Linked DNA regions of Tribolium castaneum. Each later gene encodes a partner of the first gene's protein in a complex. Links are inferred from orthologs where the notes say so. Each region holds a gene or a part of one and is shown on either strand. Other genes may lie near its edges.

Region 1 (4,485 bases):
TATGCTCGGTTTTGCTCTAATTACTTTTTGAGTTAGACTGTTTTTTTAACAAAAATAAAAAAATACATATACATATGAATATGTTTTTTTTTAACAATTGTTGCCTGAAAATGATAAAATTTTTCCGATTGTATTTTTGTTACTACAATGAATTTATCAGTAAAATAGATTTTTTTGACGAAAAAAAAATAAGTAAAATAAAAATAGAAATTTTTAAAACTTCTTTCCTTAAGACAATAAAATTTTTAAGTGTGATTTTATTACTACAATTAATTTATTAGTAAGACTTATCTTTTTTGATCCTAAAAATAAAAAAGAAAGAATAAAAATAAAGAATTCTTAACAGTTTTTATATCTTATATAATTATACTTTTTTAAGCTTAGTTTTTGTTCCAATTGATCGTCTTTTTTAGATACCGAAAATTAAAAAGAAAATCAAAATAAAAAATTAAATAAGAATTTTTAACAATTATTGCCAAAAAAAAATAATTTTAACGTTCGTTTTTTATAACCACAATTAGTTATCTGTAAGACAGCAAAATTAAAACAAAAGTAAAAAATAATTATGTGGAATTTTTTACAATTTTTAAGCTGGGCTTTTGTTACTTCAATTAATTTATTAGTATATTTAATATAACTGTTTTTTTTGGCTCCGAGAATTAAAAAAATAAAAATAAGGAATCTTTGACATTTCTTACCTAAGGATGGTTAAATTTTAAAGCTCGGTTTTTATTTACTATTTAATTTATCGGTATGATTTATTTGTTGCCTTATTTGACTATACTTATTTGAATAAATTTGTACAAGTTTTATAGACGCCAATTTGTTGTAATTTTAGCAAAACTTTTTATACATAAACCTAATAATAACAGCTAAATTTAATTGTTTTACCTTCAATTACTAAGAAAATCATTTATTTATTGTCATATAAGGATAAAATTACAAACAAATAGTGTCAATGATGTTTTGTGAAAAACTTAAAAGAAATAAAAGAACAAATTCTCCGAAAGAAAGCGAAACACTAAAATTGTTTAAAAACTTGAAACTTTTAATAGAGTTTTTTACCTTTTTTGGATCCAATATAGCATCAATTTGTTTATCCTTTTTAATAATTTCATTCTGCAATTTGCGTATTTTCACCTTTAGCATACGATTTTCGGTGCTAATGTTGGATAAATTTTTCTTCAGATGAAAAATTTCAGTCCGCAAATCTCCATCATCTTGTAACTAATAATACAAAGTATAAATAAACTAAAGTATAAATATTTTATTACCTCATTTCGAAACATTGTAGCCGAAGACGAAGTTACGTTTGTTTTGTTTGTAATTTAAGTATTGATCAAACAAATTTTACAATGTAATTAGCAACGGATTGCAGCAAACACAAACATAAATATAGCCGGGTTAAAAATATTATATAATTAAAACTATTGTATCTATTTTCTACTATTTCTTACTTTCTTTAATCAATGTTGTTAAATTTTAAACAAATTTAAATTTACCGCTTTATGTCAAAAGCTGCGCAGGCGCAATTATGTTTCTTTGACATTTGACAGCAGCGTGTGACAGCTGATCGGTTGTTGTGTTTAAAAAGTGCTTCAAAAACAACAAATTAACTAATAAAAACTAAAAAAATGGTTATTGAAAAAAATCCTTTCCCTGGCAATGCCTTGGAACAATTTGTTTTATTGTCAAAGTCAACAAAAGGGGCTGCTTGTTCCGAACTGATCAAGCAAGTGTTGGAAGCCCCCGGTGTTTACGTTTTTGGTGAATTACTTCACATGCAAAACATTGAAGAGGTAATCAAACATATTTTTACATTTATACATTAACTAAGTGTTTTGTAGTTGAGTAATACACCACAGAAAAATTTCTACAACACTCTCAACTTGTTTGCTTACGGAACCTACAAGGATTATCTAGCAAATAAGAAGGATTTAATTGAATTAAGCCCAGCTCAGAAGAAAAAGCTTCAACATTTAACCATTGTTACGTTGGCCACCAAATCAAAGGTAGTTAAAGTAATTCCACTTTAGTGAAATTAAGTTTTTAATATGGATAACTATAGATTAGGAAACGACACGACCTACAAATAAAAAGTCCTCGTTCTCGATAGTTTCGATAGTGTTGTGTAGATGGCGGAGCACATTATTGTATTAAAATTTATCAATGGTTTTAATAGCAGTTAGCACATGGTATCCAAAAAAAGCATGTTAATGCAGCTTTTGGCTATCATTTTTTATTAAAAAAAATACAAGTTATTGCAATTTGCGAATGTTTCGGCATAAAAATGTCATCAGCTCTTAATGATTTTGTTTAATCTAGTTTGTTTAAAAACAAAAAAATTGTTGGCGTTCTTTCCAAAGCACTCTTTGTAAAAATGCTTTTTTCTCCATTTTGATGAGCATTTAAGATTCGATTATATCATGTGATACATAGATGTAATCGGAAATGAAAACACTTCAAAAATACAAAAAGCAAATATGGCTTCCATAAGAAAAAACAAAATTTAGTGTTGTAACACTGACATCAAGAACGCCTTGGAAAATGGGACGACAGATTTAGATTTCTTGTAAAAATGTACCTAAAGAACGTTCTAGTTAAAAACGTCTAGTTCTTTTGGTTTTCACTCGAAAAAAATTAAAACCCAAATTTTAACCACCTCGTATCTCGTATAATAACTGAGATTCCCATGGTGGAGCTGAAAAAACGGCCACCCAGTACATTGTTTTGACTACTATAACAATCTAAAGATAATCGAGTATATTCCTAAAATTCATAAAAGGGACATAAATTTGTACCATGTTACATGTTCAAGTTAACAAAAAAAACAAATATAAAAAAATTAAAAAAAGATTTTTTAACCATTTTTGCCTAGCGATAATCAAACTTTTCTGCTCGGTTTTTGTTACTACAATGAATTTATCAGTATCTAATACGAGTGATTTTTTTGAAAGTGAAAACAAAAAAATTAAAAACATTTTAAGCTTCTTTTTGATCCAAAAACTAGAAATTTTTACCGTACTTTATAATAAATCTTCTAAAAAGTCTGCAATTTTTTTTTATTTTTTGTCAAAAATAATTAAACTATCGACAAATTTACGTCATTTTCAAGCATTTTTGCACAAAAACTATTCAGTTCAAAATTGTACTATTTTTTAACTTTGTAAAAAAGTTGCATTGCATTTTTCTCTACAACTTTTTTTTAATAGAACGACTCTATTTTCTTAACGGCAATGGAAAGAATATCGATATTTATGGTGACTTTTATCAATACGTCCTATACCAATCTCTTACAGTTTTTGAAAAAAATCACAAAAAACGGATTTTACTTGGTAGTTTTCATAGTTAATCAAGTATACCTTGCAAAATGGTCAACAATTATCAAACTTCAATTTTTTATTTAGTTTTTAGCTGTTTCATTATCGAATAATCAGTAAAATAATCACATTTAATTATAGTTTATTATAAGTTAGTGAATTATGTAAAGTAACTCAGTCAGTTTGCCATTGATCCTTGAACTTCTTGAATGAAAATGGTAAATAAATAGGACATTTCTTTTTGTTAACAGTACAATTTTATCGTATTTTTCAAAAGTTTACTTGATTAAAAATGAAAATAATGAGCTAAAATTCTGTTTTTTGCGATTATTTCAAATACTGTAAGAAATAGATATATAGAAGATGTTATTAAAAGTATGCATAAAAATTGATGTTCTTTTGATTGCTATTTAAAAAACTGGGTAATTCCATTTGAAAAACTGTTTTATAATCATTTTTTAATCATCATTTTCAACAAATCATACCTCTAGCTATGTTAGAAGTTAAAGTTTCTAATGTAGGCTCTAAAAGAATCAGCCTATCTACTAATTTAACAAAATTTGATTGATTTTTCTTAGAGCAAGTAATAATAAAAACAATGTTTTTTTAGTGTATTCCGTACAACACCCTTCTGGAAGAGCTAGGCATAACAAATGTTCGTGATTTGGAGGACTTAATAATTGAGGCGATTTACGCTGACATTATTCATGGAAAATTGGACCAGAAAAATAGTCAATTGGAGGTTGATTATGCCATAGGTCGTGATATTCGTCCTGAAGACATTAATGTAATTGTGAATTGTCTCCAAGACTGGTGTTCGGCCTGTGAAGGTGTTTTGGCTTGTGTTGAAACACAAATACATAGAGCAAATAATGAAAAAAATAAATCAATGTTGAGAAAAGCTGAAGTGGAGCAAGAGGTATTTTTTTCGAGTTTGTATCATTACTTTGTTTTAGATATGCATTTTTTTTGTAGATTAGTAACATTAAAAAGACTCTGAAAACTCAATTACAAGAACGCTCTGATGGAACTGACGAGGCTATGGCTACTGATAACAGGGAAGCTGCAGCAATTAGCGAAAAAGGAAAAAAGTCAACTAAAATCAAAGGTATAAGGCATAGCAGTAAGTTTTGGCTTAAATCTTAATAATTTTTTTCTAATATAT
Region 2 (4,490 bases), on another chromosome or scaffold:
CTCTAGAATGCAACATTTTGATAGCACTGTGTTGCGCTGTCAAATGCTCTGCAACAAGAGAGCTTTCTCCTGAGTCCGTTGAAGACATTCTCGCCACATGATCTACTCCAATTCTTTCTGCTTCTTCGGTTGCCAGAGTATAAGACAAATTAACAAATAACATTGTTGCTTCGCCCCCAATCAAATCAATTACAGACTCGTAAAGAGCAACCGGCAAATGCTAAAATAATTATGTTAAAACTAACACTTAAAATGCAGCCTGTGTACGAACATCAATGTTTTTGTCGTAGGGATTTAATTTAAGCAAAATTGGAGATTCATTAATGTCGCATATTTGCTTATGGATTTTAATGTCAGTGGTGTTGGGGATGTCTCCGGTGGTGTACCAACCAATGAAATCCATGTCACTGAACACCTGCTTGACTGCAATAGATTGTTAACAAACAATTTTTGTGTTTTCTAGTGTTTGAATTTACAATAAGAGTAGTTTTCTTATTTTTATTATTTGTATTCACCTTTCAAGCCAAGATCTCTGCGCTCTCTGGTGAACCACTCCCTTGCGAAATTTGATTTTGGCAGCTAGAGTACCATAAAAGATCTATTAAAAGTGTCAAACAGACAAAAAACGTTTGTACCTTTTCAAAAAAATTACATTTAAATTTCCCGCTATATGGCAAAGCAGCATTTCACAATTAACAACCAGAAAAACCAAAGGTCTTAACTTGAAAGGCGAATAATTGTCATAACTAAGCGCAAAACTTGAGAAAAATTAATAAAAAAAAAAATGAAAAAATATATACACCGTATTCGGTAAATGGACTGCCATCGCTTTACTGCGAACTCACAGGAGTCAGAAAAATATTATTCCGCATTTACATGAACTTTACTGTTTATAAAATTTTCAGCTACTGTATCCATACTTTACAGTTTATAGCAACCTTGTTAGAGTTGCCACCTGTCCGGTTTTCACTCAATACAATCCGGATATTAGACGATATGTCCGGTATCCGGATCAAATGTTAATTTGTAATAAATGTCCAGTTTTCTTAGGGTAATTTAAATTTTGTTGTATCTAAAATTAAAATTAACGACCAATTTTAAAAACTCTGCGATAGAACGCTTAATTCCATCTGTAATTTTTCTGAATTCGAAACTATCTAGTTGTTTCCAACAAATACTTTGAATATTAAAAAAAACTTGGAGTGAATTGGAAAAATGTAGATATACAACTTCTAAAAATTGAATTTACATTTTGCAAACAGGATACCGGATAGTTTTGCAAAAAAAATGATGCAGAAAGGTGGTTTACTGTTTATACAATGTGTTTTTAAATGATTCTCATCTAGTTAACTTTGAAATAATAAATACAGAATGTTAATATTCAATGTCTAAATGCCTATCATTAGTTATATGTTCTTTTACATGAGAAATTCACAGATGATTAGATGTGAATCATTCTAACACTCATTGTACAGGCTGCTGCATTTTAGATGTCGGAATAGGGGAACTCCAAAACTAAGAGATTTAGAGAAAAACAAGTGACACATTTTCTGGTCCGTTTTTTTAAAAAATAATTTTGGTCAACCGCATCCCGCTATCATCTTTTGTTTTCGACTTATCAACAGAACTTGACATTTTAACGAAATCTTAAAAAAAATCATATATATCTTCCTTATTATAAAAGATACACATTTGAAACACAAACATTATACAAGCACTTTTTACAGAGAATTTAAAAATGTTATCAGCGATTTTTTTAACCTTTCGTTTAGCTGTAATAAGTTTTATTTTTTTAAATATGAATTATAGGAGGCTGTAATATTTTTGTAAAGCTAATTTTTTTCTGATTTGATGTGTAATACATTCTTTTTAAATATTAAAAAAAATACATTTCGCTTTTTCTGTATAAAGTTGACACTAAAATGTCAACTTTTGTTTATAAGTCGAAAACAAAAAACGATAGCAAGATGCGGTTTAGACCAAGATTATATTCTCAAAAAACGGACCCAAGAATGTGTCACTTGTTTTTCTCTAAATCTCTTAGTTTCGGAGATCTCCTATTCCGACATCCAAAATACAGCACTCTGTACAATATTATTACTACAATATTTTTTATACTAATGCTGTTTGTTATATTTCTTGTATCAGTACATACTATTAAAACTATTGGCAATGTTTTTTTGGTTTTGTAATATTTTATTTGAAAATAAATTTATTTTTATTAAACTAAGTAAAAATTCTTAATACAAACGAGAAGTCAGGTAATAAGATGCCATTACCAGAGTATTTTATATACGATAATACGATAATATAAGAATGTAAGTTATTGTTGTTAGTCATTTTATTGTGGTGTCCAAAGCTAAAAAAAATCTGATGGTAACCCTAAACGTTGCCTACCTCCCACAAAAAATTTGCAGTCTGGCTAAACTTCATTATAATTTACAACAGATCTTATTCAATGAAATTGAAGAAATAAATGAGTCTCAATTACAACAAACGCAACCAACCATACAGAAAAAATCTTCCCTACTCTGATTAGTGATTACAAATTCCGTTGACCACACGGTACATACTTACATTGTTCTTCCTTCATGTTGTAATAATCCCTGTCGATAATAACATCCCCTCCAATTACACTAAATACCAGTTCAAATGAGTTCATTATTTCAATGTTTCGCCCCTTCTGTTTACCAATCAAAGCCCCAATCACTTAAAATGTAACATTATAAATAACTAACTATACTGTAAATGGTGTCGTACCTCGTTGGACTGAGCCCTCTTGAGCCTTTTCACGTGTCCAGTGCTCAGAAACATTCATTATCACCAAAGGGTGCAATGAACAAGTCACAGAACCGACAGCCCCAGCTGCCATCACACTTTTTTCCGAATCTTCCGCCGGATTATTTGCAACATCAGCAGAAGCCGGATTATCGACTTCCATTTCCATTGATTCTTTCGTACTCATATTAATTATTACAAGAAATTGAATCAAAATGTATAAATAACACCGCTAACAAAATGACAAATGACAGCGCTTTGACCCTTTGACAGATGTCAATGTCACAAGTGGCGCCAAACTTAAACGCAACATATTAACATATTCCTCAAATTTTATTAAATTCAAATACCTAATTAAATTTACTCATTAGACGAATTAACGTCATCACTTCCATTATTTCTGTAGGACGCATATAATTTATTACAAGATAATTAACCGAAATGACAAATAAGATCGCTTTGACAGAACGTGGTGCAACAAATAAAAATATTCGCTCTTTTATTTTATTATTTTAATTAAATTCTACAACCAATATATTACAAAATTTAATCATCCGACGAATCAACGTCATCAAAATCGCTGAAGTCGTCCAAGTCATCGTCAATCTTAAGCGCGTTGAGTTTGCTTTTCAAATCTTCCTTTCTCTCCTCGTCATTCGTCGAATCTTCCTCACTTTTTTTGCTCATGTACCTCAAAAACGTCCTCCGTTTGCGTTCCGGAAGCGTATGTAGCAAATTCTTCATTTCGTTGTCCAGTTTGAGTTGTTCCTTTTCGTCCGGTTTTGTTGTAATAACTTCTTTCGTTTCACAACATTTTGTACAAACACCAAATTTTTTTCCACAGTCTGTACACATCACATGATACGCTTTCTTCACGTTTTTCTGATCACATCTGACACATTTTCGTGGCTGTGTGAGCGGTTTGTATTTTTTGTACTTTATTTTCCACTCGATTATTTCCTTGCAACGGACACAAACGTCGCTGATTTGGATGTTGTTAATGTTTTTCGTGCGTTGACTTGTGTCGTGGAGGGTGTTTTTGAAGGCGGTTTTGTTTTGATGTTTTTGGGAGCGACTCCTTTGGGCGTTACCTTTTTGGGTGCTCATTTTTTCTGGAACGAAAACGTAGCTAAATGGGCTTTTATGTCTTTAATCAATTTTTTTGTTAAAAAAACTCATTTTTATTGATTTCTTTGCCTATTTCAATTTCAAACTCTTTATTGAATTGTTGAATGACCTAAAGATAAACACGCCAATAAAAATCAAAAAAGGCAAAAATAATTAAAATATGTTCGGCAAAACTTTCTCATTTTCTGTTTGTTTTTAGCAAAACGCTCGAAAATGACAAAAAGAATAATAAAATAAAATAAATCTCAAAAAAACTGACAATTTAGTTTGAAAACTTCATTTTTGACAAAGTTGTTATTTGTTTGGCGCTACTGTTGAAAAAACTTTGTTTTTACTTCAAAAACGTGCTTAAACACTGTAAAAAGGCAAATTTAACATCATTTTTGACCTAATTTATAGTACATTAAAAACAAGTTTTATAAGACGAGTCTTAATCTTATTATGACATCGCTCTTGATAACGTTGCGTGCTTTAAGATGCCCATTGAAACATCAAAAGGGCGGCAAATTACAAAAAAAATATTTTCAAACAGTTTTTAACGAAATTTTGGATTTTTAACTGACTGACCACTATCTTTGAAGGAA

The links.
Region 2: CSN7 (region 1) and CSN6 share a complex: the UniProt entries of both Drosophila melanogaster proteins name them as parts of the CSN complex. The link is inferred for Tribolium castaneum from reciprocal best matches to the Drosophila melanogaster genes CSN7 and CSN6.

What each region holds. Positions count from the first base shown.
Region 1 is NC_087395.1:497,494-501,978, forward strand, and holds the start of CSN7 (COP9 signalosome complex subunit 7b), read left to right. Parts: upstream 1-1,537; 5' UTR 1,538-1,634; coding exon 1,635-1,799; intron 1,800-1,847; coding exon 1,848-2,012; intron 2,013-3,930; coding exon 3,931-4,239; intron 4,240-4,295; coding exon 4,296-4,466; 3' UTR 4,467-4,485. Other genes in the region: IQ domain-containing protein E-like, read right to left, coding at 1,066-1,227, 1,275-1,289. UniProt on the Drosophila melanogaster protein: Component of the COP9 signalosome complex (CSN), a complex involved in various cellular and developmental processes.
Region 2 is NC_087398.1:15,420,266-15,424,755, reverse strand, and holds the start of CSN6 (COP9 signalosome complex subunit 6), read right to left. Parts: upstream 3,052-4,490; 5' UTR 2,966-3,051; coding exon 2,761-2,965; intron 2,710-2,760; coding exon 2,578-2,709; intron 424-2,577; coding exon 272-423; intron 221-271; coding exon 1-220. Other genes in the region: uncharacterized protein C9orf85 homolog, read right to left, coding at 3,325-3,885. UniProt on the Drosophila melanogaster protein: Component of the COP9 signalosome complex (CSN), a complex involved in various cellular and developmental processes.